7 linked regions of the Rattus norvegicus genome follow. The protein of the gene in region 5 interacts with the protein of the main gene of each other region in a biochemical or structural test. Links are inferred from orthologs where the notes say so. Each region holds a gene or a part of one and is shown on either strand. Other genes may lie near its edges. The genes, in order: Scn5a, Map3k2, Gabarap, Ndfip2, Nedd4, Pparg and Ube2e1.

Evidence for each region.
Region 1: the proteins of Nedd4 (region 5) and Scn5a form a complex in vitro, tested with the Homo sapiens proteins (3 studies listed by BioGRID, with this or other methods). The link is inferred for Rattus norvegicus from reciprocal best matches to the Homo sapiens genes NEDD4 and SCN5A.
Region 2: the proteins of Nedd4 (region 5) and Map3k2 form a complex in vitro, tested with the Homo sapiens proteins (2 studies listed by BioGRID and IntAct, with this or other methods). The link is inferred for Rattus norvegicus from reciprocal best matches to the Homo sapiens genes NEDD4 and MAP3K2.
Region 3: the proteins of Nedd4 (region 5) and Gabarap form a complex in vitro, tested with the Homo sapiens proteins (2 studies listed by BioGRID and IntAct). The link is inferred for Rattus norvegicus from reciprocal best matches to the Homo sapiens genes NEDD4 and GABARAP.
Region 4: the proteins of Nedd4 (region 5) and Ndfip2 form a complex in vitro, tested with the Homo sapiens proteins (3 studies listed by BioGRID, with this or other methods). The link is inferred for Rattus norvegicus from reciprocal best matches to the Homo sapiens genes NEDD4 and NDFIP2.
Region 6: of the proteins of Nedd4 (region 5) and Pparg, one has a biochemical effect on the other in vitro, tested with the Homo sapiens proteins (2 studies listed by BioGRID). The link is inferred for Rattus norvegicus from reciprocal best matches to the Homo sapiens genes NEDD4 and PPARG.
Region 7: the proteins of Nedd4 (region 5) and Ube2e1 form a complex in vitro, tested with the Homo sapiens proteins (7 studies listed by BioGRID, with this or other methods). The link is inferred for Rattus norvegicus from reciprocal best matches to the Homo sapiens genes NEDD4 and UBE2E1.

What each region holds. Positions count from the first base shown.
Region 1 is NC_086026.1:128,193,656-128,197,898, forward strand, and holds the start of Scn5a (sodium channel protein type 5 subunit alpha), read right to left. Parts: upstream 2,816-4,243; 5' UTR 2,673-2,815; intron 1-2,672. UniProt on the Homo sapiens protein: Pore-forming subunit of Nav1.5, a voltage-gated sodium (Nav) channel that directly mediates the depolarizing phase of action potentials in excitable membranes.
Region 2 is NC_086036.1:24,079,989-24,084,316, forward strand, and holds the start of Map3k2 (mitogen-activated protein kinase kinase kinase 2), read left to right. Parts: upstream 1-1,455; 5' UTR 1,456-1,897; intron 1,898-4,328. UniProt on the Homo sapiens protein: Component of a protein kinase signal transduction cascade. Regulates the JNK and ERK5 pathways by phosphorylating and activating MAP2K5 and MAP2K7. Plays a role in caveolae kiss-and-run dynamics.
Region 3 is NC_086028.1:55,211,872-55,216,440, reverse strand, and holds the start of Gabarap (gamma-aminobutyric acid receptor-associated protein), read right to left. Parts: upstream 2,977-4,569; 5' UTR 2,871-2,976; coding exon 2,781-2,870; intron 2,240-2,780; coding exon 2,161-2,239; intron 2,022-2,160; coding exon 1,903-2,021; intron 471-1,902; coding exon 405-470; 3' UTR 1-404. Other genes in the region: Ctdnep1 (CTD nuclear envelope phosphatase 1), read right to left, coding at 4,541-4,569. UniProt on the Homo sapiens protein: Ubiquitin-like modifier that plays a role in intracellular transport of GABA(A) receptors and its interaction with the cytoskeleton.
Region 4 is NC_086033.1:88,491,760-88,495,561, reverse strand, and holds part of Ndfip2 (NEDD4 family-interacting protein 2), read right to left. Parts: intron 3,396-3,802; coding exon 3,271-3,395; intron 697-3,270; coding exon 630-696; intron 1-629. UniProt on the Homo sapiens protein: Activates HECT domain-containing E3 ubiquitin-protein ligases, including ITCH, NEDD4, NEDD4L, SMURF2, WWP1 and WWP2, and consequently modulates the stability of their targets. As a result, may control many cellular processes.
Region 5 is NC_086026.1:82,341,057-82,344,858, reverse strand, and holds part of Nedd4 (E3 ubiquitin-protein ligase NEDD4), read right to left. Parts: intron 3,044-3,802; coding exon 2,984-3,043; intron 2,244-2,983; coding exon 2,136-2,243; intron 1,360-2,135; coding exon 1,263-1,359; intron 1-1,262. UniProt on the Homo sapiens protein: E3 ubiquitin-protein ligase which accepts ubiquitin from an E2 ubiquitin-conjugating enzyme in the form of a thioester and then directly transfers the ubiquitin to targeted substrates. Specifically ubiquitinates 'Lys-63' in target proteins.
Region 6 is NC_086022.1:150,217,647-150,221,722, forward strand, and holds the end of Pparg (peroxisome proliferator-activated receptor gamma), read left to right. Parts: intron 1-3,009; coding exon 3,010-3,257; 3' UTR 3,258-3,458; downstream 3,459-4,076. UniProt on the Homo sapiens protein: Nuclear receptor that binds peroxisome proliferators such as hypolipidemic drugs and fatty acids.
Region 7 is NC_086033.1:9,918,996-9,922,797, reverse strand, and holds part of Ube2e1 (ubiquitin-conjugating enzyme E2 E1), read right to left. Parts: intron 1,181-3,802; coding exon 1,048-1,180; intron 404-1,047; coding exon 256-403; intron 1-255. UniProt on the Homo sapiens protein: Accepts ubiquitin from the E1 complex and catalyzes its covalent attachment to other proteins. Catalyzes the covalent attachment of ISG15 to other proteins. Mediates the selective degradation of short-lived and abnormal proteins.

The sequences.
Region 1 (4,243 bases), about 46 Mb from region 5:
TTCTGGAGCACCTACCTCCAGACCCAGCTCCTTCAGGAAGCCTCCTTCTCGGAGCCTTCCCTCTAATGCTCAATGGAAGTCAAATTGCTCAGAAAAGGTTGACCACTCAGACTTCACCCACCCATGCCCCTCACTGTATATACAGGGTAAAGGGTGGGTAGCTCTGAGTGCCCAGAAAGGCATGGGTATCACAGTGACAGGTTTTTCCGTGGATGACACCACCGGGTGTCACCAGTGGCCTGCCTGGTGCACCCCTTCAGCTGAAGGGCTCTCTAAGTCTGCACAGGCCCCCGTACAGCAGAGTCCGACTACTTGAGAGATGTGTGCCATGACCCGGCTGCTCTCCCTTCTTGGCCTTTAGTTTCATCATCTGCAGAATGGTTGTGACTGAGGTCCCCACTCTCGGGCTGACCTGGGACACTCTGGGAGAGGAACCCTATGAAGCACCTGGTGTGGCCTGGTCTACAGAAAGCACTCAGTGCCTATTAGCTATTTTTAGAAACATTACTGAGGATAAATTCCCAATTCATGAGAAGAGCTTGCACACCCCCCCCACTCCACCGTGCCTTGGTTCCTCCTCATAACATGGGGCCCAACAGATCGCTCTACTAACTGTCGTTTTATCCCCCTGTATGTTGTGCTGATTGATTGGTGACTGAACTGCACCGTCCTCAATCGGAAAACTTCTGTTCATGCTTCAAAACCCAGGCGGAAGGTTATCTAGGCTAGAACAACAGCCTCGACTCTCTTAATCAAAATCGAGACCTCTTTTGTGTTTCTGGGGAGAAGCCTCTGCCACTGCACTCTTCCGAAAGCTTTCTCAAGGTCAGGAATGAGTCCTGCAAAGGGGGCTGTGGTTCCTCACGGCTGCAGGTTGCCCCCAGGAGCCCCCTCTTTGTGGACTGATTGCCTCAGCGCCAGCCTCCTCCGCTCCCCCATCCCCAGCTGTCTCTGGTGCTTCCCACTGTTCCTCCATGCTTGTTCTTCATGCCAAGTGAGTCAACCCTGGAAGTCTTCCAGGGGAGTTCTGATGGCCACCACACACAGGGACTAGGCTCTCTAGAGGGCGACAGCTGTCCGTGTCACATCAGGCTTTGAAAGGGGGGTTCTTAGCACCTGAGGGCCACTCTTCTTTCTGTTTAGACCCTCTTTGGTTGGTTCTAGGTCAAATTTGGACCCCCAAGAAATAGATTCCAAGGGATTTTCACCCTGTGGGTCCTCCCCAGTCCAATGATTCTGTGTGACCTTGGATAAGTTCTTGACTCCTCTGGGCCTCAGTACCTGTGTGGTTGTGGTGAAAGTTTCGGAACCTTGAACATCCTAGCAAAGACCCAGTGTCCCGTGCTCCATCTGGCTGTGTCTTGCTTCTGTGGCAGCAGTCTGTCCCACCTTCAGTTCACTCTCCTGTGCTATCACCATCATGTATGTGCACCCAGCCGATTCTAAGTGGGAAGGGACAGGTAGAGAAGTGGAGGAGTGGTCCAGGGCTGGGGCTGCACGGGGAGCAGGGTTGGGGGGTTCTTAGTTCTGAATGACAGTGAATCTACAGAAGGTTTGGGGTTTGTGGAGGCCCGTTCTGTGCTTCTCTGTTTGGTGCTTGGGGGTCACTGCTGGAAGGGGCAACTCACGTCCCCAAGGGCACACTGATCCCATATCCCACTAGACTGAAGTCGCTAAGGAGACTAGGTCGAGTACCACGGCTGTTCCGTGTAAGCTGCCCTCCAACAGGTGTTTGGAAGGCCTGTCTACAGCCAGGCCTCATCCTGAGCATTTCCTCCCATCGTGAGCACCACGGTTACCAGTCCCCACCACATCACTGTCCCCACCAGTACTCAAACAAGGCTAGGCACCTCCACTTCCTCTCAAGGCACCTCCAAAGACGATCAAATAACACAGAAGTCGGGGACCTCAGCCCTCTCCTGTCCGGGTGCGAGAGTCTGTCCAGGTCAAAGCAAGGAGGGTAAAGAATTCTGCCGAATTTCCAAGTCCAGAGATCTCTCCCCTCTCCGAGCGCACAGAGACAAGAGGAGATCCGACCGCTTCAAGGCGACAACAGGGCACCAAGATCTCGGCGTAGTGGGAGCGCCCAAAGACAGGGCGCACTCTTAGATCTGACCCCCAATAGAGTGCACAGATTCCTTGCAAGGGTGCAGCGATCTCGTCTAACCGAGGGCACAACCCGGGTGCCGAGTTCCTCCACCCCCGGGGCCCAGGGAAAACGAGCGCTCGGCCTGCTCCCTAGTCCTGGTCAGTGCCCGCTCAACCCTTTCACCCCCAGCTCTCGAGAGCCACATTCTCCGCGCGCCTTGTCGCTGCTCTGACCTTGGGGTCTCCGGCCTCGGGAATCCGGGTCCCAATCTCAGCCCATTGGCGAGTCTGCGCCAGCGATGGTCCCGGAGCTGGGGCCGAAGCTCCCCATCCCCCGGCCCTCGACAGCGCACGGGGAACCCGGAAGGAGAGGGGACGGGAGGAGACCCGCGGCGATCAGAGACGAACAGGGGAACCCCGGCCCGGGCCACCTGCGCCTCTCCCGCCCCTCCCCCCTCGGGGACAGCGGCTGCGGGGGCTGGGGACCCGGCCGGGCGGCTCCGGGCCATCGGGGAGGAAAGTTGGGCGGCGGCGGCGGACGGAGGGGCGCGGGGGGCTGCGGGACACAGGGGGTGATCGCTCACCTGATGGTCCCCGGCCCGCGCCCCGGGGTGGGCGGCTGCAGCGCGGTGCGGGCTCGGCTCGGCGTAGGGCTTGGGGCAGCGGGCTCAGGCTCAGCGGCCCCGGGGGCGCGATCCCCGCATCCCACGGGCGCCGCCGCCGTCTCGGCTCCGCCGTTCGGCTCGGGCTCCCGGGCTCGGCGGGCGGCGCGGGCTCGGGCTGGGGGCGGGGTCGGGGGCGGGCCCCGCCTGGGTTCGGCCTGGGGCTCCGGGGCCCCGGGCTGGCTCCGCCCCAGAGCGACGCGCCCGGGGCTCCGCACGTGGCGCTGCGCCCGCCTGGCTCGCGGGGAGAGCCACCCTGCCCGGCGGGGCGCACGCCCACCACTCTGACCCCGGGTGCGCCCTGCTGGAGACGGCCGCCCACGCGGACACGGACAGACAGACACGCGGACGCACGCCGACCTGCGGACGCCTCGCTACAGAGAGCCACCCACGCAGACCTGGACCGGCACACACCGACAAACGTTGGCACACACGTCGCCCAAGCCAAAGTACACAGACACACCCCTCCTCGATGATATGGGGACCCTAACCCAAACCTCACTTATCCACACTTATTCACGTACATGGACATGGGCAGGACCTGACATCCATGCTGAGACACACTGACACACATGCACCTACGTTGACACACACACACACAGATACAGATACCAACACACATATGAACATGGACATACACATACAGACAGGCACCACTGACATACACTGGCATTGAGGAACAATCACTGATAAACCTAATTATACCACGTGACTTAGAGATACATCCACTGACACACTGACATGCGAACACTTAGAGCCACATTTCTAGAGATAGAATGACAGTACATAGACCCATGCGTTGTAGATATTTATATGGCCATGCTGACACATGAACTCAGACAGAAATCAAACACACCCCCAGACTCCATTTCAAACACACTAGCAGCAAACACTAGCAAACCCACAGACACGAATACCTCCACACACTCACCCTCTTGACCCGTGTTCAGCCTTCTAGTTGACCCACAGAGGGATACCAAGTCCCACACTGACAGGAGCACTGACTGTCCTACAAGAATACCGTCACAGACACTCATACACGTGGACAGACAACCGTGCACATGTTGGTCCAGCTTCATACATTCGCTTGTACAGACAGAAAGACCCACAGACCCACATCTCCCTTATTTAAACATGAGAGGCCACTACCATAGGACATTTTGAGCGACTCAGTGTCCAGGGCTATCACAGGAACACAGAGGTGCACACAGACACCCACTCTGTCCTTTGTCCCGAGGTTTGATTTCTCTGCAGTATTGTCAAACTGCTAGGAGACAAGTACTCTGGGAAGGTAAAGCCTTCAAAGGGTGCTGAGGTTCTGGGTTTGGGAGCCAGGATATGCATGGCTCATATAAGCGCGCGCGCGCACGCACGGGCACACACACACACACTCATATGCACTCACACACGCGCACACATACACGGGCAAGCGCGCACAAGCACACACACACACACACACACACACACACACACACACACACACAGACTTACTT
Region 2 (4,328 bases), on a different chromosome or scaffold from region 5:
ATGACAATTCAGTCCAGTTGATCCTTTCATTTTAGCCTGTGATACTTAGAGGAGCAATTGGACAATCCCTGGTGGAAAATTCTTACCTCAGCACTCTGTTTTAACCGGTGTTGAGTGAAGTCATCAAGTCTCTCTCTCTCTCTCTCTCTCTCTCTCTCTCTCTCTCTCTCTCTCTCTCTCTCTCTCTCAAGATGTGATTTCTCTTAGTAACCCTGGCTGGCTTTGAACATTTCTAGGTAGCTGGGATACAGGCATGATACCACCTCTGGCTGTCTGTGGTAATTTGTCTTGGAGCAACAGAGGACTCAGGTAGCATGCCTCTTGTCTGAAATCTTCCCTTACCTCCTCAGGCACATCTGTGACATTTTCCTTCCCACTGCTATGCCACCTGGTACCCCTGCCACTGTGAAAGTCGTCCTGGGTTAGAATTATCCTTTCTCTTCTCTTAAATTTATTTCTATGAGTATGGGTACTTACCAGCATGCGTTTTCACTTAGCTTCTACAGATATGGGGTAAATATCCCTGTTCTTCTGCAGTTGCTATCTCTATCATTGGATCTATAATGAAAATTCCTGAACAGAGATGCAGACGTTTTGATAGTATTCAACATTTGCCCCTTGAGCCTGTTGTCAGGCCAGCTACCTCGAAAGTTTGGGTCTCTTCTGACCCCTGGGCTTTGTGTGTGTCAGCTATACCATCTCTCTCATGTCAAATGCTAGGGTGGGAATGTGGTCTGCTCCAAGCAGGAAAAGGGATCAGACTGTTCTGATAACCAAGGAGGAACGGTACAGGAAATTATAAAGGGTATTGGAGGCTAGATGAGGCCGAAAGGGTGTTGGGTGGGTTTGCGTATTGTAAAGACCTCAGGATGCTGTCACATCACCGAGAGCCTCCAGAGCTATCTAGCTCACTGATTAATCTGTGTTTTATCTCTTGGGCCAAGAGGAGCAAGAGAAGGCGTTGGTGAAAGATTTCACTATGTTTTGATCCGGGCGTGTGATGTCAAGTCATCTGTGGTAAATTGGATAAGTAATAACCTAGTGGATCAACCAGAAAACACTTAAAACTAGCTTGCTACCAAGGCTGTGGTTTAAGGACAATACAGTGATTTCTAAAATCACCGCTTCTCCGCGATGCCGCTTCTTGCCTTCCGTACGAGTGGGGGTTGGTGCAGGGGAACCCTTTCCGCGTAACTCTGACGGCCAACATTATGCACATGCGCAAAACTCAGTAGTCCCGCTGCGCGCGCACCCCGTCTGAAGCCCTGGAAACGTCGAGCCGTCGGTGAGACCTGAGTGGGCGGAGCCGGGTGTGCTGCGCAGAGTAGACACTGCGCAGGCGCCTGCTAGCTCGCCTCAGCCGGGCGCGCGGTTGCGGCGGGTTCCGCTGTCGGCGGGCGGAGGGGTTGCGCGCACACGAGCGAGCCGCCGTGACGTGCGCCGCCGTGCTACGCCAGACATCACGGGTCTGTGTGTAGTGGCGGCCCGGCTGTCCTCAGCCGCATCGCCTGGCGAGGGTGGCGCGGCGTTCCTGGGTTGCGGGACCGGCGACAAAGAGGACCGACAGAGAACGATCTGGTCGCAGAGTCGCCGCTTCCGCTTAGCTGCTTCTCCGGTCACCCGCGACGCGGGCCCGGGGCTTCCTCCTCGTCGGCCCAGTTTACTCGGCGGGCCCCGGGGCTGCATCTACCCAGAAGCAGCGAAGAGGCCCCGGGCTGCGCGCCCGCTGTCCCATGTGAAGCAGGTTGGGCCTGGTTTCTGCTGCGGCCCTTCAGGCCTCGGGGACCCCGCGAGGCGCTGCTCCTGGGGGGCGCGGTGACAGGCCGTGCGGGGGCGGAGGGGTCAGCTCCGTGGCCTCCTCTCGGCCCTCCGCTCCACGATCCCCGCCCAGAGGCCGGTAAGTGTTTCTGGTTCAGCGTGCGACTGGGCCCACGGACGGGAATTCCGCTGCAGGGGGTGGGAGTATCGGAGGTGGGGATAGCCCTGCCTGGCTGGGGTTCACCCCAGAACCCCCAGGTCTGTGCGAAGTGGGCTGGAGAACTGTTAGACTCGTACTCCGCGGGAATTTTATTCTAACCAGAAGGTTGCCACTAGCTGGTCGAAAGGAAACTGAGACCGACGTGCTTTAAACCAAAAAAAAAAAAAAAAAAAAAAAAAAAAAAAAGGTGCTTGTCTTTGGGATGTCGGAGTGGCAGGCTGTTGATGGAGGTTGTTTCCCCTTACCTTGGAGCGGTCGGCCAGCTCTCCGCGTGCATATACTTTGCTCTTTTGCTTTTGACTTGTAGGTCAACTCTTCTCACCTTCCCAGCCCTGCGAGACGAGTATACATACATTCTACTAGCTTTAAAAATGAAAAAAAAAAAAAAATCAAGGCTCAGTGAGAAAAAGGTATAACTTCCAAGGTCATGCCAGTGGTTATCGAAGAAGTAGATATGTTTGTGTAGGGTCTTCGTTTCACCGTCCTGCAAAAGTTAAGTACGTTAGGGAAATGAGATTGGCTGAAGAGTTTGTCCCTGGTTGTAAATTCAAAACAGCTATCGAGATAGCGAGATAGTTCACATTTTTTGATTTAAGTTGCTGGATATATATTTTGTCACAGCTCATCCCCGTCGTTTAGTTTTCAAAGACATTACTTGTGGAAAAAGTGGTTCTGTGCGTCCTTATAGGTGTACAGGAAGATTGTACAGAAAACAGTTTACCATCTTACTGAAAAGAAGAAATATACTCGATGAAACTGCACATTTTTTCGAGGTTATGTTTTATTTTTGCACTTTGTTGTTAATGTGTGTAGGAAACTCACAGGTTATCTTCTTTGCCTGAGAATTCCTTCTTGCAAACTTGGTTGCTGGGTTATGTGGCAATGTCAGTATTTATGGTGACTTTTCATTGTCTTTTTTTTTTTTTTTTTTTGGTTCTTTTTTTTGGAGCTGGGGACCGAACCCAGGGCCTTGCGCTTCCTAGGCAAGCGCTCTAACCACTGAGCTAAATCCCCAACCCCTACTTTTCATTGTCTTAATGTAATATCTCAGGGTTTAATGTCAGAAGTCAATGTGTAAAATATCACGGAAGGTGATCATTTTGTTGGCATGGTTTATGTGTCTATGCAAGATGCTACTAATTAGTTGATAAGCTGACAGAAAATTCTCATTTTAGTGAGTAAGCAGAGCTGGTCCTCTTTACAGAAGAAAATGCTGATAAATGCCTTTCGAGTAATTGAAGTTTCATGTCACTGCAAATGCTCAATTATAACGCTCAAATTTCATTAGCATATCACACCTTGATGGAAACTTGTAGTTGACTGTCTTTGTAATAATGTGTAGGGAAGAGGTCACATTTACAGCGTTAACAGGTGAATGGCTTACAGGCTGGTTTGTTTGGCTAAAATACAGACGTTTGTTGAAGTAGGTTGAATTTGGTGTCATTGTAGAATGGTTGTCCAGTCATGTTCTCAGTGTGTCTGGTTGGAAAGACTAGCTGTCAAGAGCTTATCTTAAACGATGATGAATTGAGATGGAATCTTTTTACGTGGTGTTTTAGGTGGAGCGGTGCTCCCTAGCTGATGGCCGCCAAAGGGACAGACTTACGATAGTAGATGCTGCATTGCATTTAGTGTGCTTCTGCTTCTGTTTGTTTCCCGCTTTGGAAAACTGGAGAGCTTTGGGTCTCTCCTCTACAACTTTTTATCATGAAGGCAGTTTAAGCATAAAGAAATCTGTCAGCGGTAAACAGCTATATGGCGACCCTCTCCACTCAACGTTTGTTGATAGCTTGCTGTATTTAATGTATATTAGTTTTGGTTGAACCGTTTGAAGCTCAGCTGTTGACAGTATGTGTGTCAGCTTGCTTTGCCCAATGACAAGGGCACTTTTTTTTTTTTTTGGCATGGTAAAATACTGTTACTGTTCATTTTCTTCAACATGATAAATCCTTAGTTTAGTTAAAACAACACAAAAACTTATGTGTGTGTGTGCATGACTGTGGAGGTAGAGGGGGCACCTAGAACTAACGCTGCAGGTGGTTGGGAGCTACCAGATGGGTGCTGAGAACCAAAAGAGTCCTCTTCAAGGCAGCCCGTGCTGTGCTCCTTCTTAACTGATAACCCCAGCTCTCTCCTCCTCCTCAGTGTGAGCTAATACCACACATGTACATCTCTCACATTGTTGTGAGAAGGTATTTAGAGCATTGTACAGACTTTCTTACCCAAACCCGACTCTTTTCAGACCCTCCTTGTGAAATAACATAAGAGACCAAAAATTCAGCTATCTTAGCAAATGACTCACATTTTGCATTTGTCAGAAATTTTCCTTCCAGTGAAGCCAACTAGTAGG
Region 3 (4,569 bases), on a different chromosome or scaffold from region 5:
CTCTTTATTGATGTGCCTCCTACCTCCCCCACCCAATGTCAACCCCTTCCATCTACCCCCCAAAAAGAAGGTAGTGAAAGGAAGGGTTTATTGGGGTTCTGAGCCCAGTGGGCAGTTAGAAAGGGAATAGAAACCAAAACAATCATCCGATGTGACAGAGATCGACAATCCAGAAGTCTAAAGCAGAGTGGGAATGGAGGGTAAACAAGGGGAAAGAGAGATGTACAGCGGCTGCATCTACCATTACCCCTCCTGCTCAGAGGGACTGGAGAGACAGCCTCAAACATTAAGTGCAGGTCCTGAAGAAAGGAGATGGTGTTTGAGCCTGAAGGAGGAACTGGATGCCAAGGAAGGAGCGCCACCTCTCTTTGTAGAATGGAACCCCCACCTCCGGGACAGCAACTTCACAGACCGTAGACGCTTTCATCACTGTAGGCAATGTATAGAAAGAAGTCTTCTTCATGGTGTTCCTGAAGTAAAAGCAAAAAGGAGGTTTAAGGCAACTCATTACTCCAACCATTTATCACCAATACATTCCTCAAGAATCATTTTAAGCATGGCCTGGTAATTCCAGATGCAGGAAGGACGGAAATCTCAAGGCCACCAAGGCAACTTAAGAACCTGACTCAAAATAGATCTACAGGTACAGATCATCCATAAGCATTTGTAGGTACCAGACATGCTCCTTAGTACAAAAGGAATAAGAGAAAAGCAGACTGTCCTTATTCTCTTGCTCCTTTAGGAAATGGTGACCCTGGCTGGGCAGTGGTGGCACACACCGTCAATCCCAGCGCTTTGGAGGCAGAGGCAGGAGGAACTCTGTGAGTTGGAGACTAGCTTAGTCTACAGAGTGAGCTCCAGGACAACCAGGCTATTACACAGAGACCCTGTCTGGAAAATACAAAAAAGAAAAAGACTGACCTCAAACTCACTATACTATGCAGCCATTGACCTCCAACTTGATACTATTGCCTCAGCCTCTCAAGGGTTTGCTTGCTCTGTGGGGTGGGGGTGGGGGTGGGGGTATCTTTTAGAGGTTTTGCTTTTGAGATAGGGTCTCATTATGTAGCCCTGGAACTCCCTGTGTAGAGCACACTGACCTTGGAATTCAGAGATCTACCTCCCTCTGCTCCCGGAGCGCTGGGACTGAAGCTGTGGCATGATCACACCCAACGTGCAGTGGTTCTGTGGGTTTTTTTAATTTGGGGGGGAAGGTGTTTTTGATTTGTTTTATTTTGTTTTTACTTCTTATTTTTGATACAGGGTCTCACTAAGTATCTCTGACTCATTAGGATAGCCTCAAACTCCAAGAAATCCAGCAGCCTGGATCGGATTAAAACTGTGCTTGGACTTAGAGGATCAAAGGTGTGCACCATTATCAGTCGTTATTCAGGACTGGAACTTCTAACACCTTTAATACCAGCACTCAAGAAGCAGAAGCAGGAAGATCTCTGAGCCTGAGGTCAGCCTGGTCTACATGTCAAGTTTTAGTGCAGTGGTGGCACACACCTTTTGTTAAGCCTAGCCCAAGGGAGGCAAAACCAAGTGGATCTCTGGAGTTCAGAGGCCAGCCTGGTCTACAAGAGGGGGTTCCAGGACAGCCAAGATTACAAAGAGAAACCCTGTCTCCGAAAGAAAAAAGAACAACAACAACAACAACAAAACCAACAACACCACCACTCCTCAAACTATTTTTTTGACATCTGGGACTCTTGGATAAGGGAAAGAGACTTCCTTAGGTAGTAAGAGTCCCAGTCAAAACAACTCCACCAGCTCATACCCTCTCTCCTCCCACTGCTATTAAGATCCCAACCCAGGACTTTATTGACCTTTTAAAGCTAGTAAGCCAACAGGAACTGCTGACCTTTTCTTTCCTCTCCAAACACGGCCATGGTACTATACCTGGTACAGCTGACCCATCGTGGCACTGGTGGGTGGAATGACATTGTTGACAAAGAAAAACAAGGCATCTTCAGCACGGAGATGAATTCGCTTCCGGATCAAGAAGTAGAATTGACCAACTGCCCAAAAACAGGAGATACAAGAAAGTCAAAGAGATCGTAGGTGCCACCAGAAAACAGCTGCCAGGTGAAGCCTCCTCCCACAGAGATGGCAGGCCCACCCACAGAAAGAAACATACACCATGGGTCAAGCTCCCACCTGTAAGATCAGAAGGCACCAAGTATTTCTTTTTGTCCAGGTCCCCTATCCGAGCTTTGGGAGCTTTTTCCACTATCACCTGATGAAAGGAAGGTACGAATGAGATTTTAAAAAACGTACAGCTATATCGATGAAGAACTCAAGGTACAATATTTCCTTGTACTGAAGCCTATTGCAATCTCATTTCTTAATAATATTTATCCTTACATGCGTGGTGTATCAACATTAGGTCCAGAGATCCTGGCCTCACTGTCTTACCTAAATATTGAGAATTGATCCCAGAACGGTTCATCACAATAACTATTTTCATCAGTGAATACAGGATAACTTGTTTAGGTCAAAAAAAATCTACCTTAAATCTAGCTACTTGGGAGCATGGCCATGGAAACTCTGGTTGTCAAGCTCACTAAGGCCTCCATTCTGAGAAATTCCCAGGTCTCACTCTCTCCCGTCCACATCGCACTCCCAGCTCTACTTCTTCAGACCTCTCGCCCTTGGTACCAGAGACAAGAGTTCTAACCTCAAGGCAGACTGGAGTCTGACCTCGGCTTTCCCAGACTCAAGCCTAGTTTGTGGCGACAGCGTCAGCGACGCTAGCGTCGGCCCTGGCTAGTCCTTACCGGGACCCGGTCTGGGTATTTCTTTCGGATTTTCTCGCCCTCAGAGCGGCGCTTCTCGAACGGATGCTCCTCTTTGTACACGAACTTCATTCTCCCGAGAACCGGGCTGGACCGAGCTGGGCTGAGGGAACCCAGGGGGGGGGCCGGGACAGGGGACGGCGGCGGAGGCGGCTTCGACGAACAGACTCAGCGGAGCGATCCACGAATTTGCGCCACTTCCCTATTCACCAACCCCGCCCCCGACCGTCCGGACCGGCCCCGCCTGCTGACATACACCACGAGCTCAGCTTGCTAGCGCAACCCGCTGCTCCGTCCTCTTACGCCTTCAGCGTAACTGCTTTGGAATCAATTTGTGAGTTACGCGTATGACATCGCAGATAAGGTTGCTGTCGTTTCAAGTCAACTGAAAAATCCTTCCCCAGGTAGCCCCACAGTACAAAGCAGAGGACGAGAGTGGTACTAAGTGGCAGTCGTGAGATTTAGTTCTGCAGTTATTTTCGGAAATTACGTTAGGGAAAGGCAATTACAAGTCTAGATATTCATGAAACGTGTTGCTACGCTGAAGGTGGCCGTTGACACCAAAACAAAGTAGTACCCAAGGTGTGAATAAGGATACCATAAGACGGAGAAGAAAGAGGTTTGCAGACACAGCGAAGGCTCAAGACTCAGGCGGACCAATAGAAACTGCAAAAATCCCAAAGATAGGGACTATATCAGGGCGGAGGAACACATCCCGGAGTGTTGCAAACAAAATCATGTGACCTCAGAAAAGGGCGGAGAATCACGTGGCGAGGGCCAAAATGTAGTCCCGGCTCTGGAGAGGAGGTGCCAGGAAAGAGGGCTCCGCCCCAAGTTATTGCCGGAGTGCCAACAGCTCGTAGGCAGCGCCCTCTCAGCCTGTCCACGTCAACTTCCCAGTCAAGCCCAGCCTTTCTCCAGCTGTTTGCCCTTCGAGGGTTCTAGATTTTTTTCCTCTTCAGCCTTCTATGTCCTAAAGTTGCTCTTCCACTGTGCATCAGGGACTCTATCCAGTCAGTGGGGCTTTTCCAGCCAAACACCGGCATAAATTACTTTATCCCTGTGCTGAATCCCACTTCCGCACTCCAAACAGCATCTTGCCCCTCTGCTTCAGAGGCAGAGCAAATGTAACAAAGTTCCCTCCAAAAACATCAGAGAAGGATCTAGGGCAGCTTTGGTTTCAAAGTTATAATGCATGGTTTAAAAGAGGAAGGAAGAAAGGAGCTGATTACAGGTATTGGGGGGTTGGGGAAAGAAAAAAAATGAGGAAAAGTAAGGAAGGGACAAGACTGAGGAAGATCCAGTGGCCCGAAATCCCAGTCCCCACCCACAGCCCAGCCCTTGGAGCAGGAGTGAAGAATTAGATCAGTTTTGTATAAGAGTTTTTAAAAAATCAAATCACAACAAAGTTGAATTGGCTTCTTTTGAGCCTCTGGGATATGTCTGTCACTCTGGCCAGTCCTGCCTCTTCACCAGACGGTTTCGGTTCCCCTAGGCCTTCGCCTGTCCCAGTCTGGCATTTCCACGGAGTGTGAACACAAAGAGTGAGGCTGCTTCACAGTCTGGCCCATGTGTCCATCCTGACTCCGTAAGCGGAGTGTAGGGCTCCCAGGGCAGAGAGGGGCGGGAGGAGCAGACTCTGCCCAGGCAGTCCTCACACTGGACAGGGCTACAGACGGCCGTCCGAAGAGTTCTCCCTCCCTTTCCCCTCCACCCCAACTCAGGTGGAGGGGGAGCAGCTGTCACCAGAGCCTATGTTGGTGAAGGTTTC
Region 4 (3,802 bases), on a different chromosome or scaffold from region 5:
CAACTAAGCAGAAGTACTGTGATCGTTGGCCATAGAGCCTTTCCCTGCACTGTGGGTTAATGATTAAGGAAAGGCACATTTCAAAAGCACAAAGGTTTCTGTGATCCAAAAACAAGAAGACAGCATTGCATGCAGAAACCCTCCTACATGCTACATTGTCATTAAAATTATACACGTGTGTTTCCTAAGATAATTCATAAAGATAACTATTTTAATTAGGTAGAAACTTCAAACTCTGTAGCACTTACTTATCGTCCCAGCACCTCTGTTCCCTCCGTTGCTAAGGAGCTAAGTGGGGGCAACCTTTACACTAGAATTAGTTCTGCACACTAGGAAGGAACACAACTTACTTGCACTTTATAATTTTAGGACTAGCAGTTAAGCTGAGCAATAAAGAAACACTATTTTAAACTGTACTGCCTTAAGGAGGAACGCTGCTCTGGGCTCAGTCAGTCAGAGAAGATGCACGGAACCCTCAGGAGACTGGAGGCCCCAGGGAGGCTAGAGGCCTGAGGGGAGGGGACGTCCTCAGGAGACGGGCAGGGAGAAGGTATGGGATCTGGAATGTAAATCTGTAGTATAAAAAAATAAAAGATTAAATAAAAAGGAATATAAAAAAATAAACTTACCAAGTACAAGAAATATCCACCAAAGCCAATATTGTCCATTGAAATAGCCAGTAAAATAGTCCGAAAACTATGGGGTAAACATAAATATATTAATCATATTTGTATAACTACATTTGAATATTTGTATTATCCTAGGTTTCAGAATAAATTATCTCTTTAAATAATCTTTAATGCTTAAAAATAGCATATAAAAACAGCACAAAAGGAAAGGGCAGGAATAATACTTAATGGTGAAAAAATTCTTATGCGATTGTAAACTTCCGTAAAGTACTTTATAAACAAAACCTCCAAACTGCTTGCAAAAAGATAAATGCCTAAATGTTATCTATTGGAATCAAACTTTTTTTTTTCATTGAAAAGTCAGTTTCTTATGCAGTCCCAAAGCCACAGCCACATCCCAAATGGGCCAGAGCCACCTGCTGCTTTGGGTATTAACACAAAAGCCACAGTAGGTTAATCTTATCAGATGGGGATGTTCTGGTGACCTCTAAAATGGAGAGTTTTTGACCTTCTGTTACACCCCCTACTGTTAATCACTGCCAAAAATACTAGGCACAGAAAGACCCCCCAACTCATTAGAAACTTTTTATTTCAAACTAGATGCCTGACATTCAGCTCCCAACAGTGAGCGGAGAATAGCTAAATGAGCCTCGAAGTGGCATTTCAACAGTGGTTGCTGCCGGCCATGTCCTGTGTGAGGTGGGCCTTCAGCAGGTGGCCTCACAGCAGAGAGCACAGGGGCCTTCTCTAGAGCAGACACTGCACTCTCAGAGCCTGGTAGTACATCAGTGCAGCGTCCTTAGCAGGTAACTCACACTACATCTTAAAGTGCCTCCAAATAATTACTTTTAAGTGTTTCAGATAACATATTCTAAAAGTTACAAACAAAAAAGATAGTTTTGATTGATTTCTTTCTACTGATTTCCAAATTGAATCCAATTTACCTAAAAATTGTGAAAAAAGGTAGAATGATGCTTGAACCTGAAATTAATTAAAAGCATTTCCAATGATTTGTTGGTAATTTCTATAAGAGCTTAAAAATCTACAGCTTTGGTAATAGTAAAAGTACAAATTATACATGGTGTTGCAACTTGGGAAGCATATAAATCAAGATTATCAAAACATGTCTTTAAAACCTCTGAAGTACTTTCTTTGGAAGAATTTTAAATTAATCAAGAGCTATTACCTACGGTCTACGCTAAGAGTTTTAAAGATTCACAAGAGTTTGAATATCCCAGCCTTTGGAACATCTAAACCACCATTGCTGCAGACTCCCACATATAAGACACACAATGAGAAAACGATAACTGAAAAACCACTTTATATTCAAGAGAAGTTTCCTAAGAGTCTTAGAAGCTGTGGAAAACAAAAAAGGAAAGGCCCACAACTCTGTTTTCAGCACTCCGCATGTTACCTGACACTCAGCAAGCAGAATGCCAATGAGAGTGAGGTTCTAAAACCCCCAGGGTACAGGCCATACCGGATGGACGGACTTCCTTTCTGTGTACCAGGAATCACGCTAGCAAAGCATCAACTTAGGAAACTTTAGACAGTAGGTTTGAATTGTTTGCTATGTTCAATGAGAAATTCCATTTGAGTAATAGCAACAGTTCTAATACAGCTAAGTCTGAACAAACGTAACTCAACTCTTTTCAGTTTCTCCAGCAAGAAAATCTGCAAGAGGATTGTAGCTTTGTCACTGTGTATATACACCATCTAGCTGATTTAAGCTCATGGTAGAAACTCACAGGACATCATCTGAAGTAAATTTAAAACAAAAAACTATCAGAGGACAGTTCTCATAATGGTTCAACCGTCAATCATGTTATAATAGACCCCAAAAGATTAACAGTCAGAAACCTACAGTCTGATATGTACCAGTGTAGGAGTTGTGAAAAGAATCAAAGCTATAAAACAAGTTCAAAACTAATAAAAATATCATTCTGAGTATTAATATTTGTATAATGGCTACTTTAATAAATTATACTTGTTAATAAATTAATAAAACATCTGAAGCATTTAACAGAAACAAACATTTAGACCTGTGATTCTATTGACAACTTTAGCCAAGATTTAGCTCTTTCAACCAGAAAGCAATGTCTAAGTACTGATTATTTGTATAGTTTACATACTCTAGTAATTGTGTAACATTTAAGATTCTGTGAACAGACTTGTGATCTCGGTTTCGTCACACACAGAACTGCTCTTACAGTATGCTTCCGTGCTCCTCCCAGGTGTAGTGGACAGGAGTGAGTATCCGTATGCCTCTATGGATAAACGTGGTTTTGCCACGTGTGGCTTGTCTTTGTGATTACACACTTTACTCATCTGACTTTTCTTAAGCCTCAAAGTATAAACTCTGACACTGAATGACGCTGGTTACTGCATTAAGACTTTAGTCCTCCTCATTTTCAGGCTCCATTCTCCCAGCGCACTGGCTTTAGAGTGGTAGACACACAGCTTCGCAGACAACATGACACAATGAATAAAGCTACCCTTGATCACCCTTCTAGGTCCATCCTTGAAAAACCCAGGAGAGACTGCAGAAATGGCTCACTATGTAAAGACACTTGTCACCAAGTCTAATGAACTTGAAAATCCATATGGTAGAAGGTAAGGAGGAAACCATCGAGATGCTCACCCTGACAATAAGGATCCATTTGATCAGTGAGAGGCCAAATCCACAGATAGCACCGTATCTTCCAGCTATGGTATTGGTGATACAGAAGGATAAGCAGAATCCAAGCCAGTTGAATATGAATGCCACTGCAAATAACAGAAATATGATTTAAGGTCATAATTCCTACACAAATAAAGAGAAACATAGTAATAACAATACTTCATTCACTGCTAGAATGAAACCACTTTATTTTAACTTTATACGTGGGCTGCTCTTAGAGACCGCGCAGTTTGCTGTCTGCAGATCTATCGGTTACTAAGCAAATAAACTTCACCCCATGGGTCATCGCCGAAGTCAGGACAGGAGCTCAAACGGCAGGTCATGATGCACAGGCCATGGAGGGTGCAGCTTGCTTGCCAGCTTCCTTCCGCACGGCTCTCCTCCTGCTTCCTTGAACTCAGGAGCACATGGGCTAGGCCCTCCCCTACTGATCACTAATTACAAAAATGGCCTACAGGCTGATCTTATTCTGGGATGTTCTTAATTAAGGTTC
Region 5 (3,802 bases):
AATCCCATAATCAATTCCAAATGTGCACGCATCATTGCCAGAAGGTTTTCAAGAGGCGTAACTTTCTATATTTTGTCCTCTATGATCAGATCCCACTATAACTTTTAGTCCTGGGGCTGGAGAGAGCTCAGCTGCTAGGAGCCCACACTGTGTGGCTCACAACCTCCCATAACTGTAGCACTGGGGGATCTGACATCCTCTTCTAGCCTCCGTTGGCAAGCACATGGTACAAAGACATAAATGTAGGGAAAACACGATTACATATAAACTAAAATGAAAAATAAAAGGAAAGGAGAGTGGGAGCTATGTGTGATCTTATCTGGGATCCCCCCATCTTCCACAAGAATGAAGCTTTACCCACACCTCACACCAAATCACAAAAGGACTCTCTGCTCAAGAAAGCTTGGGAAAACTTACTCTTAATTTAACTTTATTTTTTTAACAAGTTCCTAAGAAATCGTTGAGTTCTTCCTAATCTGTGTTTGCTGGAGGTGTGCATATATGCACACCTCACATCAGGCGTGTGACTACGCTCTCTGCTCTTTATTGAAATGCCCTTTAGGATTTGTGGACTGAATGTCTGTGGTAGCTGAAGCAGCAGGAAGAGAGTCCTTGGGTAAGAGGGAATTAGACTTTCTTTAGTGTAGTCTATGTATCCTCCAAGGCTACTATGGCATAGATGTCAGCTAACGCTGTTTCACTGCTGTCTCCACCCAGTATGCTAGAGCAGTGGTTCTCAACCTGTGGGTTGCAACGACCCCATTATAGGGGTCACCTAAGACCTCTGGAAAACAAAGGTTTATATTATGATGCATAATAGTAGCAAGATTACAGTTATAAAGTAGCAACGAAAGTCAGCATGACACATGGAACTGCATTAAAGGGTTGTAGCGTTAGGAAGCTTGGGAAGGAAGGAACTGGGCTAGAGGTGCTGCTGTTTCTGGGACTACAGAACGCAGCTCAATGCTCAACGGCGAAAAGTAACTCAGCCACATGCCAGGTTCTTGGTCACTATCCAAGATAGTAGTAGTGACAGAAGGTAGTGACATCATCCACTTCTTTTTAGGGCAGGGTCTCTTACCTACCTGCAGCTTGCCAATTGGTCTAGGCTGGCACTCTACCAATCAAGTTGTCTCCCAAGCCTTCAACTAAATTTTTAAAAGTTAAACTAGACTTGAAATGGTAGAAACTTAAAGACTCTTCAGCTATGAAAATAACAGTCAGCTTCTGTGCACTTCTGAGAATCTACACAGGACTCTTACCATAGAGTTCAGCAAATCCATTCATAGGCACACGGGATGTGCCAGTAACAAACTGAAGTAAGCGTATTCTTTTTTCTGAATCCATCATCAAAACAGCCTGAAAAACAGAAAGACTTCTGCTAGAGAAGAGTACTGAAAATAACAGAGAAACTGTCTTGGAAAAACCATTTGACACCCCAAGCCCCACCCCGCAGTGGTGGTGGCAGGTGGATCGCTGAGTTCAGAGCCAGCCTGATCTACAAAATGAGTTCTAGTATGATAGCCAGGGCTACACAGAGAACCCTTATCTCGAAAAACAAAAGTCATTAGAGTTTAGAGAATAATCACTAAGGTTTTGTTCTTATTCTCAAAAAACTTATTTCTAAGGCTTTTCCCTCAGAAATGGAGAGGGCCTCAGCAGTGAAGAATGCTCACGGCTCCTGCAGATGGCCTGGGTTTAGTTCCCAGCATGCACATGTTGGTTCACAATTGTCTGTACGTCCAGGGGATCTTACACCTTTTGGCTTCTACTAGTATTGTACACATGTGACATAAACTCATGTAACCACGTATACACACACACTTAAAAAAAAAACCTTTACAATAATTACATATTACTAAAAGTCACATATCTAAGAATTTAGAAGAGCCATGTTACAAGTTCTTCGAGACAGTCCTCACACTGGTGAAAACTGATGTGCTTATTTCAGCTCATTTCCTACGATTCTGAATGCCTTCCGTACTTACCTCTGGATATCAAGAAGGGTAGACTCACATTCAAAGGCATTTATGCAAAATTAGAGGCCTGTCTGCTTTGCTGGTGCACTTTTCAGAGTGCGACACACTCTGAGAGTCACTCTACAGGTGGCGTAGTATGACTGAACCTCAGATTACCTTCCAGAACCAGTGGATGACCTGGTGGTTTAAGCTGTATCCATTTTTGTATTTTGTATGTTCCCTCCAGTCGTTCACGTCCACATCTCCCAGACCACACATGAGAAGCTGCAGACAGACAGACACGCAGTCAGAACTGTGAGCAGGGAAAACCGGTGCAAAGCTCTGGGTTTTTTCCTCTCCTGAGTCAGGGTCTTACTACATAACTCTGGATGTTCTATAATTCATTGTATAGACCTGGCTGGCTTCATATTCAGAGGGTCACCTGCCTCTGTCCCTCAGTGCTGGGAATGGAAGAATGCATCGCTACATCCAGCCAAAGCTGTTTTAACACAGAACATTTTCTTTGCTGCCCTGTTCTATTGCATGTTTATATGTATTGCAGCATGTCTATGTCATGTTGTGAGTGAGGAAGTTAGCGATAGCTTGTGGGAGTCCATCTCCACTCTAGGTGTCAAACTCGGGCTGTCAGGCTTGGTGGAGGGTGCTTTTCCCATCTTGTGGGCCCTCCAGTTCTCTTTTTAAAGACAGGGTCCCTGTAGCCCAGGTTAGTTTCAAACAATGTAGCTGTGGATGACATGAACTACTGGTCTTGCTCCCACCCCTCGAGTGCTGGCTAATGGGTATGTACCACCACACCCTTCTACACCGTGCTGCGGATGGCGCCCACGGCTTCACACCCTCCCTCCTCCTCCCCACTTTCTCTCCACAAACTGCCATACTCTCCCTTCCTCCCCACTCCTCCATGCCCTCGCCTCCACACCAGTGGCACTGAGGACTGAACTCAGGGCCTGCATGACTGCTCAACACTGAACTACATTCCCAAGCACAGCACAAACAGTTGTTACCTCTAGTTCATTTTCATCGAATATCTTGATCAGATCCTGTGGTATCAGTTCAAAAAATCCCTAGAAGGAAAGGAATGTGCCCAAAGCTGGTTAGCAGGCTTGGCACGCTCAAGCATCTTGTGGATGGAACACTCACTCCTACACAGATCTTGCCAGCATACTTTCATGAACAACCCTTCACTGTGATCTTAATGTGGCCGTCCTGTCTTTATTTCTCAAAGTGGCTATGTTAAATCCTCCCTCCTCCCTCTTCATTCCTTCTACACGTACTGAGGAGACTGAGGCAGACAGAAGCCCATCCCCCATCCTGGCCAGGCCCACTGCAGGAGGTGAGCCCCCTCAGCGGGCCTCACCCCTTCTGTTGCTCCCTCCTCCTCCTCTCCTTCACCTACTGAATCCTGTCCTGGCCTGGGACCTGCAGTAATCCTGCCTAAGTCCCCAATCGTGAGTCAACTGCACCTTTGTTAATTTCCTGCGTTTTCCTCGTCAGCCCCACTCAGGACTGAAGACACTCATTCTCACCACAGGCACAGCTACTTGCTCATAGCTCTTTTCTGCTCCTCTAGTCCCCAGCTTAGTCTCACTGTGCCCTCTGTCCCCACTTCCCAGTAAGATTCTAACTGTGCAAGACAGCCAGAGCAGGAAGATTTGCCCAGGAAGATATAGTGAGACTGCCACACAGCACCTGAGCAGAGGTAACCAGCCACGTGGCAGAATAAAGTTCTCTTAAGTTCTAATTCTCCTCAGAGAAGATCCTAACTATAAGGCCAGGGTCCATGTAAATGTATGTAAATGTATGCTGAGTCTGAGTCTTATTTC
Region 6 (4,076 bases), on a different chromosome or scaffold from region 5:
GGTGATCCTACCTACAGACTTGTTCACCAACTAAAATCTACTCTTCCACCTGGGACTGTGGGCCAGGACAACCACTGGCTCATTAACTCAGCCAGCTGAGAGCCCACTGGGCATCCATCCACTGGTGGCTCAGCGACAGCAGAGCACTGCTACTTCCTGGGCACAGAAGGAAAGAGAATGCAGTGCGACAGCACAAGGGAAGGGGGACTTAAGTGATAGTGTTTGGATCAAATGAGCCCAATCCTGTAACTATATAACTATCCAGCAATTGTGACCTCAGACGCTGAGAGCAGAGGTGGTCATAAGGTGCTATGGGGCTCAGAGTAACAAGATGAGGGCAAGAGAGGAGGGGTGGGGAAGAGGCATTCCACCCCACTGGTGCTCCTTTTGAAGAAGCAGCTGATATTACTACAAAGTGAGGAGGCTTCATGCGGTAGGCACTGAGTCTCTGTAGATTGTCTGATGGATCTAGATGTTGGAGGAAGTTGGAGTAGAAGTGCCTTGCTGCTGTTAGAGCAGAAGGATAACTAGGGAAACTGAGATGGGGGAGAAGGACAGTGGCAGATGAGAAGGATATAAAGATGTGAGTGAGTTTATGGTGAAGGGGGAAGAGCGGCCGTACTTAATAGAGTAAGCAACCTGCAGGGTTAACCTTAGGAATCAATGCAAGTTGCTGAATGTGTCCTAAATGTTGTAGATGAATCCATTTTTAGTAGGTCTTAAAGAGAAAACCCATAAATTCTAGCAAACACAGTAAGCTAAGAGTACAAGAACCAAAACACAAACCCTTTACTCAGAAATTTCAAAGCAGCAGGTATGGTAGAGCACACATTTGATCCCAGCACTCAGGAAGCAGAGGCAGGCAAATCTCTGTTCTAGGACAACCTAGTTTACATAGTGAGCTCTAGGCTAGCCAGAACCACATAGTAAGACCCTGTCTTGAAAGAGATTGGGGATTTGGGGGGGGGGAGAATTTAAAACATACTTCCAATAGCTCTTGGGTTAAAAGATAATAAAGCCAACATTCTGAGATAGGCTATTCTAAAAGAACAATGAGAGCCTGTTCCTGAAGGCCTGTGGGATGAAACCAAAGTGACACTGGGGGAAAATTTAGAGCCCTAATGAGCTCATGAGAAATCCTAAAACTAAAAGAGCAAAGCACTCAAATCAAGAAGTTAGGAAAGGAGAGGAAAAAAAAGGAAAGAAAGAAAGATGGAATATATTTATTTTTAAAGGAGTTAAACATTGAAAAAATATAACTTTAAGTTGATTAATAAAACTAAAGGTTATATTTTAATGAAAAAAAAAATAGGGGGCACAGCTGAAGAGATGGCTCCGTGATTTAGAGCACTGACTCTTCTCGTAGAGGGCTCAGATTCAATTCTCAGCACTCGCCAGTAGTTCACCCCCATTGGAATCTGATGCCTTGTTCTGACCTCCAAAGGCAGCAGGCCTGCCTGTGGTGTGCATTCCTACATGCAGACAACACACAAAAACTAAAATAAATAAGGAGCATAGAAAATCTTAAAGAAAAATAGATCTTTTACAAATAAAATTTTAAAATGAGAAAGCACGCAAAAAGCATTGAGTTAAGAAGCATAAAAAGGGCAGATTCCATTAGTTTATAAAAAGGGAGAAGAAAACAGAAGAAGGACTGGTTGAAGAGTGAAAGTATTCTGCTGGGCTGGGAGGGGGCCATGAGGGCAATGGGAGGGAATATGGTCAAAGTGCATGCAGTGCGTGTATGGAAATGTCATGATGAAATCCACTCACCATTATGCACAATTTTTTAGTTAATAAAACCGTTTCAAGATATAATAAAAATAGATTCCAGATTATACTAGAATATCATGTACAACTTCATCCTAAAGAATTTATTTGTCTTACTTTGTACATTATAAAAAACCTAGGTGGATGAAAAGTAATACAAGAAAAGTCAAAGGTAATGAAGGACTTGTTACCACGGCCAGAGGGCTCTTCAAATGAATTCCAAGAAACCTCAAAGGGGCAGTTAAAACTGAAGGGAAAAAACTAACAAACAAACAAAACAAAACAAAACAAAAACAGCTCCACTCATAAGGCTGGTTCCCAGTTACTACCCAAACAAGCAATGGCTGGCTCAGATGGTAACACTCCTGACCACATCACCCACAGATATTACGAAGCCCCAAATAAGCCCTTAACAAATGAGTACAAGGACATAAGGTGTCTGTTAATGTAATCCGCTACATTAGGTTAAGATAAGATTGCATCTTTTCAGATTTCACATCTCTTTAGATAGAAAATTTTAAAAGCCATCAATAAAATTTAACCAACATTCCTGACTAAAACAAATTTAAAACTTTAAAATACCTGGAAAACCAAATCAAATCATATTCACCACAATCTACAGCAAATGTCACACTTGTGGCAAAGCAGTAGCTACTTGCTTCACGGTCAGGTAAAACTGACACAAGGGTTTCCTAGCAAGTGGTTCAGAGGCTACCCTGCAGAGAGGGGAGCATCCCTCCAAAGTGCAGCAGTCCTTTATCTTGCTGGAAATGGGATGTGCTGTGCTAAGCAAAAAACAAGTGTAAGCAAGGCTTACACTTGAAAATCTTATTTGAAGCTGTTATGAGAATGTAGGTAGAAGTTATAAAAACAATCATCCAGAAGGAGCAAAGATTGGAAATGTGATTTCAGAGAAGAGAAGCATGTTGACAGAGAGGCCTTGGATAGAACACCTTGGGATGCCCCTGATGGTGTCACCGCACTTAGTCCTGGCTGGGAAGGGCTGGAGCTTTTGATTCCATCCTTAGGTCTTGCCATTAGCTGCAGAGTTTTACTTCTCAAACCCGCTTAAGATATATGGCAGAGATGGGGCCTTGGCTCTGCGGTGGAGCATGCGCCCAACAGCTCAAGGTCTGGGTTTCACCTCCAGCCCGGAGAGGGAGCCGGGAGCCTGAAGCTGCACAGGTTAGAGCCAGCCCAGAGGTCTGATGAAGCCTCTTTCTCTTCTCGTTCTCCCAGACCGCCCAGGCTTGCTGAACGTGAAGCCCATCGAGGACATCCAAGACAACCTGCTGCAGGCCCTGGAACTCCAGCTGAAGCTGAACCACCCGGAGTCCTCCCAGCTGTTCGCCAAGGTGCTCCAGAAGATGACAGACCTCAGGCAGATTGTCACAGAGCACGTGCAGCTACTGCATGTGATCAAGAAGACGGAGACAGATATGAGCCTTCACCCTCTGCTCCAGGAGATCTACAAGGACTTGTATTAGCAGAAAAGTCCCAGTCGCTGACAAAGTGTTCCTTCTATCGATTGCACTATTATTTTGAGGGGAAAAAAATCTGACACCTAAGAAATTTACTGTGAAAAAAGCATTTAAAAACAAAAAGTTTTAGAACATGATCTATTTTATGCATATTGTTTATAAAGATACATTTACAATTTACTTTTAATATTAAAAATTACCACACTATAAGATTGTTTGTGGTATTTAAAGAGTGGACGTATGCCTCCCATTCAGCCATCACAGATTTGGGGAAGGATTTCCCCCATTTTATTTCTTTTCTTCTTTCTTTCTTGTTCATTCTTTGACATGCATGTGTGCTCGTATGTATGTTTATGTGTGGGGGTGCTGTGCATGTGTATGGAGGCCCAGGGGCAGCTCTAAAGCTGGCTCCTTCTCAGGACTGTCACCTTCCCACTTTGAGACAAGGTCTTTCATTGGCCTAGAATCAACCAATTAGGTTAGACTAGCTGGTCAGTGAGCCCTGAGGAGCCTCGTGTCCCCGCCTGCTCATTGCTACCCTGCCTAGCATTTTTAGATGAGTGGAGGGGAGGGGTTGAACTCAGGTCCTCATGCTCTCTAGGCTTCACAAGAATCCAAACTTTTTCCATGACTCTAACAGAATCTTCACTTATCACCAGCAACCCGTTTAACATGTGGTCATCCCTCCATAATCATGGGGTCTGGTGCCAGGTCTCCTCCCGAAGGTACCAAACCCCACAGGTGTTCACATTTTGATAACACGATATGTTGCAAATAAACTACGCACCCTCCCCCTATCATTTGAACTCTCTGTAGATACCTACG
Region 7 (3,802 bases), on a different chromosome or scaffold from region 5:
AGCATTTGGCAGAAAAATACCTCTTTCTAAAGTGAGCACTGGCTGTGGGTCAGGGCTCAGCGAACCCCATCAGAACTGCAGCTGAGCTGCGCCCAGCCTTAGTGATGAGCCCAGAGTAGTAAAGTGGCTGCGTTTCCCACCAGTGCGCTAAACTCTTGATCACAATGTCCTTTGAGAACCTGGGTCTTAGCTTGTGTTGAAAACAAGTACTTTGTCATTTACTAAGAAATACAGTGCAGGTGACTACAGTCTTACCAGGATTGCAGTCTGTAAGGAGTGAGCAGATAGAGAGGAGGACTTTCGAGATGGTTAGTGCTGGGCTCCAGTTGTCTTTCAATATGTCCAAGCAGATAACTCCTTGGCTATTAATATTACAGTGATAAATTCTTGTACGAAACGTAACCTAAAAGTAAGGCAGTTGTTAAGCAGCATCAGGTAGGGGCATTAGGACACTTCAGGCTAACCCCTCCATCTCACTCTACAGCAGTGACCACTGCTCGAGGCGAACAGTCCACACTTCCTCCCTTCTCCATCAGGCCATCCTGGTGCCGTGTACCCCACACTAGCTGCAAACTTTTGATCCTCCCCTCTGCTTCTGCTTCCAGACTGTAGGATGACATATGTGTGACTAGTAGCATCTGGCTTAGTTTTAATGTTTAGACATCAATAGGTCTAAGTTGTTGGTTGTCTGCTGGCCTCTTGTGTTAGCTGGAAGGAACACACTGCTCCGGAGTCATTAAGTCTAAGAAGCTATAAACAGCAATCTTAAGTACTTACCCTGGAAATGCCTATGACCAATCACCAGTCATCACATTCACTTACACTAGCAAACACTGCACAGCAGGAAGCTAAGCTCTTCCGACCTACACAGCAGATCTAGACTGCACCGCAGTCCACACAGCTCTTCCAACATGGAGGGGACTGGGTAAGGAGGCGTCAGTGGCCAGCAGCACACACGTGGAAGAAATCTGGCTTTTGTGAGTACATTGAAAACTTTAATCTTTCTCAAGGACAGTTAAATGTGAGAAGACACAGGAGACTCCTTACCTTTGGAGGCTTGAAGGGATACTCTGGTGTAAAAGTGATGTCGAGGAAGAAGACTCCACCTTCATACACAGACCCTGGAGGCCCCAGAATGGTTGATCTCCACTCATAGATGTTGTCACCTTTGGGACCAGCACTGTGAAGTAACACACGAGCAGATAGATAAAGACATGGTGATGCTGGACCAGAAAAGGAAAAAACCCCTTCCCCTCATCCTTTGAGTTTAATGTCTGGTTCTCTTCATAAGGAGATTTTGGTATAAAGACATTGTCCACCAGTCAAGTAAGCCATGACAGAACACCAGGTCCACTCTAAACACACTAGCTACAGCTGGACACACTTTCCTCAACTCTCAGACGTAGTACGGGAAACAACAATAAAGATCCGTGTCTCGGAAGCTAAGCTGCTGGCTACTCTGCTCTGAAGAAACTCAGGACAAGTCTCACTCAGTAACCGGCTCCTGCCAGCGCTTCTCACCAGGCCCCATGCTAACCACCTCCCCCATCTTCTCGCCATTGCTCAGCTATCTTGGCTATGGCTCCTTTGGTCCACACCTCCGGTTTCCCTCTTGGTCAGCTCGCCCCACCTTCCTTCTTTCCTTCCTCCCCATCCAGTCTGCTAGTTAGGTTCAGTCTGGACTTCCCAGATGTCTCTGCCTGTTCTCACCTCTTATCTACAATAAGACCTCCTCCTCAACCATACCTAGGAGTGATCATGTCCTCATTTTTGACTCAGTGACAAGTTTTCTCATGGCTACATCATTTCTTAGAACCTTTTAAGTAACCAGAATCTTTTCCTTAATTAAAGTGCTTAGCAAAGTTTGGACCCTGGTGATGCTGATAAATTCTACACAAAGACGTACAGCATTGATTTCCAGCCTCCTCGTGTACACATGTGGACACAAACACACACACTCAAAACTGCTTTAGCTATAGATCACGTTACACTCCTCCACTTCTGGTCCCCTGAGACAGAGTAGCTCGGACTGTCTTGAAAGTCACAGTCCTCATTCAGCTCCCATGAATGCTGGGTCATGGGTCATTCCAAGTTGGTGACTATACTTCTTACCTTATAAAAACTGAGTGAGAGGGGAATGTCAAGTCCGTAATCCGTTCTCACTCAGTGTTAGACATGGACTCTTACTAGCCATTAACCAAACCCGTTCTTGTTAAACATACTTGGTTGTACCTTCATTTGGCTACATCATCCTTCTAAAACATGGCATTGGCTTCCACTGCTCTGTATTCAAGCACCTTAGCAACAGAGTGAAAAAGCTTACCCTCCGATTCTGAGACCTAGAGAGTATAATGCTTTCTTTATAATCACAAGGTGTAGTACAGGGAAAGATTAAAAGATGATTTACTTCTATTTATGTAGTGAGAGAGTGAGTAAGTGAGTGAGAGTGTGTGTGTGTGCACTCATGCATGCCCCCCGCCCCCCAGCACACACTGCCTGATCTTAGAAGTTAGAAGAGGGCATGAGATCCCCTGGAGCTGGAGTGACATGTGGTTGCGAGTAGCTTGACACAGATGCTGGAAACTGACTGAATCCTCTGCAGGAGAATCGGGTGCTCTTAAGTGCTGAGCTATCTCTCCAGCCTCCAACAATATCTTAACCAGCCCTATCCTAGGAATAGACTCTGACTCCTCTGGAAAAAGATGTTACCTTTACTGCTTCATTTACTAAGAACAGAATGGGTTCTCAATTATCAAAGGTTAGCTTGTTTGTGTCCCCTGCTTAACCTACAGTAGGATGGTGACTAGAAGGGAGATTGGGCCCTTGGGGACAGTTACGTCAAGAAGTCATATATGAGCTTAGTGTCTTAAAACAGACCTCACCACCAGAATGTTAGCTTCTTACCTGCCCCCTGAGGATAGTGAAACAAGACATCTGTCTGGAAATTAAGAAATGTTCCTCACTACACTAATACTGTTAGCACTTAGGTCTTGGATGCCTCATCCCAAACTGATAGAGGAAAGCTAAGCCCTTTAAAATGCAGTCAACACCATTCCAAACTGCCATCTAGAACTATTCTTTGTCAGGCTGGCAAGACTGAAGAGTCAATGTGGTGGACAGAACCCACTTTCCATGCACATGCGGACCAAGCTGTCCTTGAACTTGGAGACCCATCTATCTCTACCTCCAGAGCGCTGGGACTGAAGTCAGGAGCCACCGCACCCAACATTACACTTAAAAAAAATCAAGAACACAATTATCTGTTTAAGAAAAACACTGAGCTCCTAGGGTTGAAAAAAGGACTGTGAAAGTAGACAGGTAGACATCAGCAGGAAGTGAGAGTAGAGAAAAGGGCCCTGATATCCATGTTTCAAAACAGAGCCCAAGCAATTTCTGACATTCGTGATCTGATTGCTACTCCATAAAAGTGAAGACTCAGTCCCCCAAGAGCAAGACTGCGAAGACTGCCAGGGCCAGAGGCCAGCCTCAGACCTTCCCCAGCTCTGAGGTCACTTCTGGATTGTTACAGCTGGGATGGAGGGCACTCTAGTGCCTGGCAGGTAGAGGTCAGGGATGCACTAACCACCCTGAAGTGCACTTGACAAAGCACAACGCATATTAAACCAGCCGCAGATCCCAGCAGTCCTGAGGCTGGGAAGCCCTGCCTTGGATTCTTGAATAATGTTGGTCAGGGAGTAGAGACAATTGTGAGCACAGCTCAAGTCAAGCTTAGAAAGGATAAATGGTTTTAGCTGATTACAAAACAGCTACCGCTTTACCCCTCAAGTGTGCTGTAGAAAAA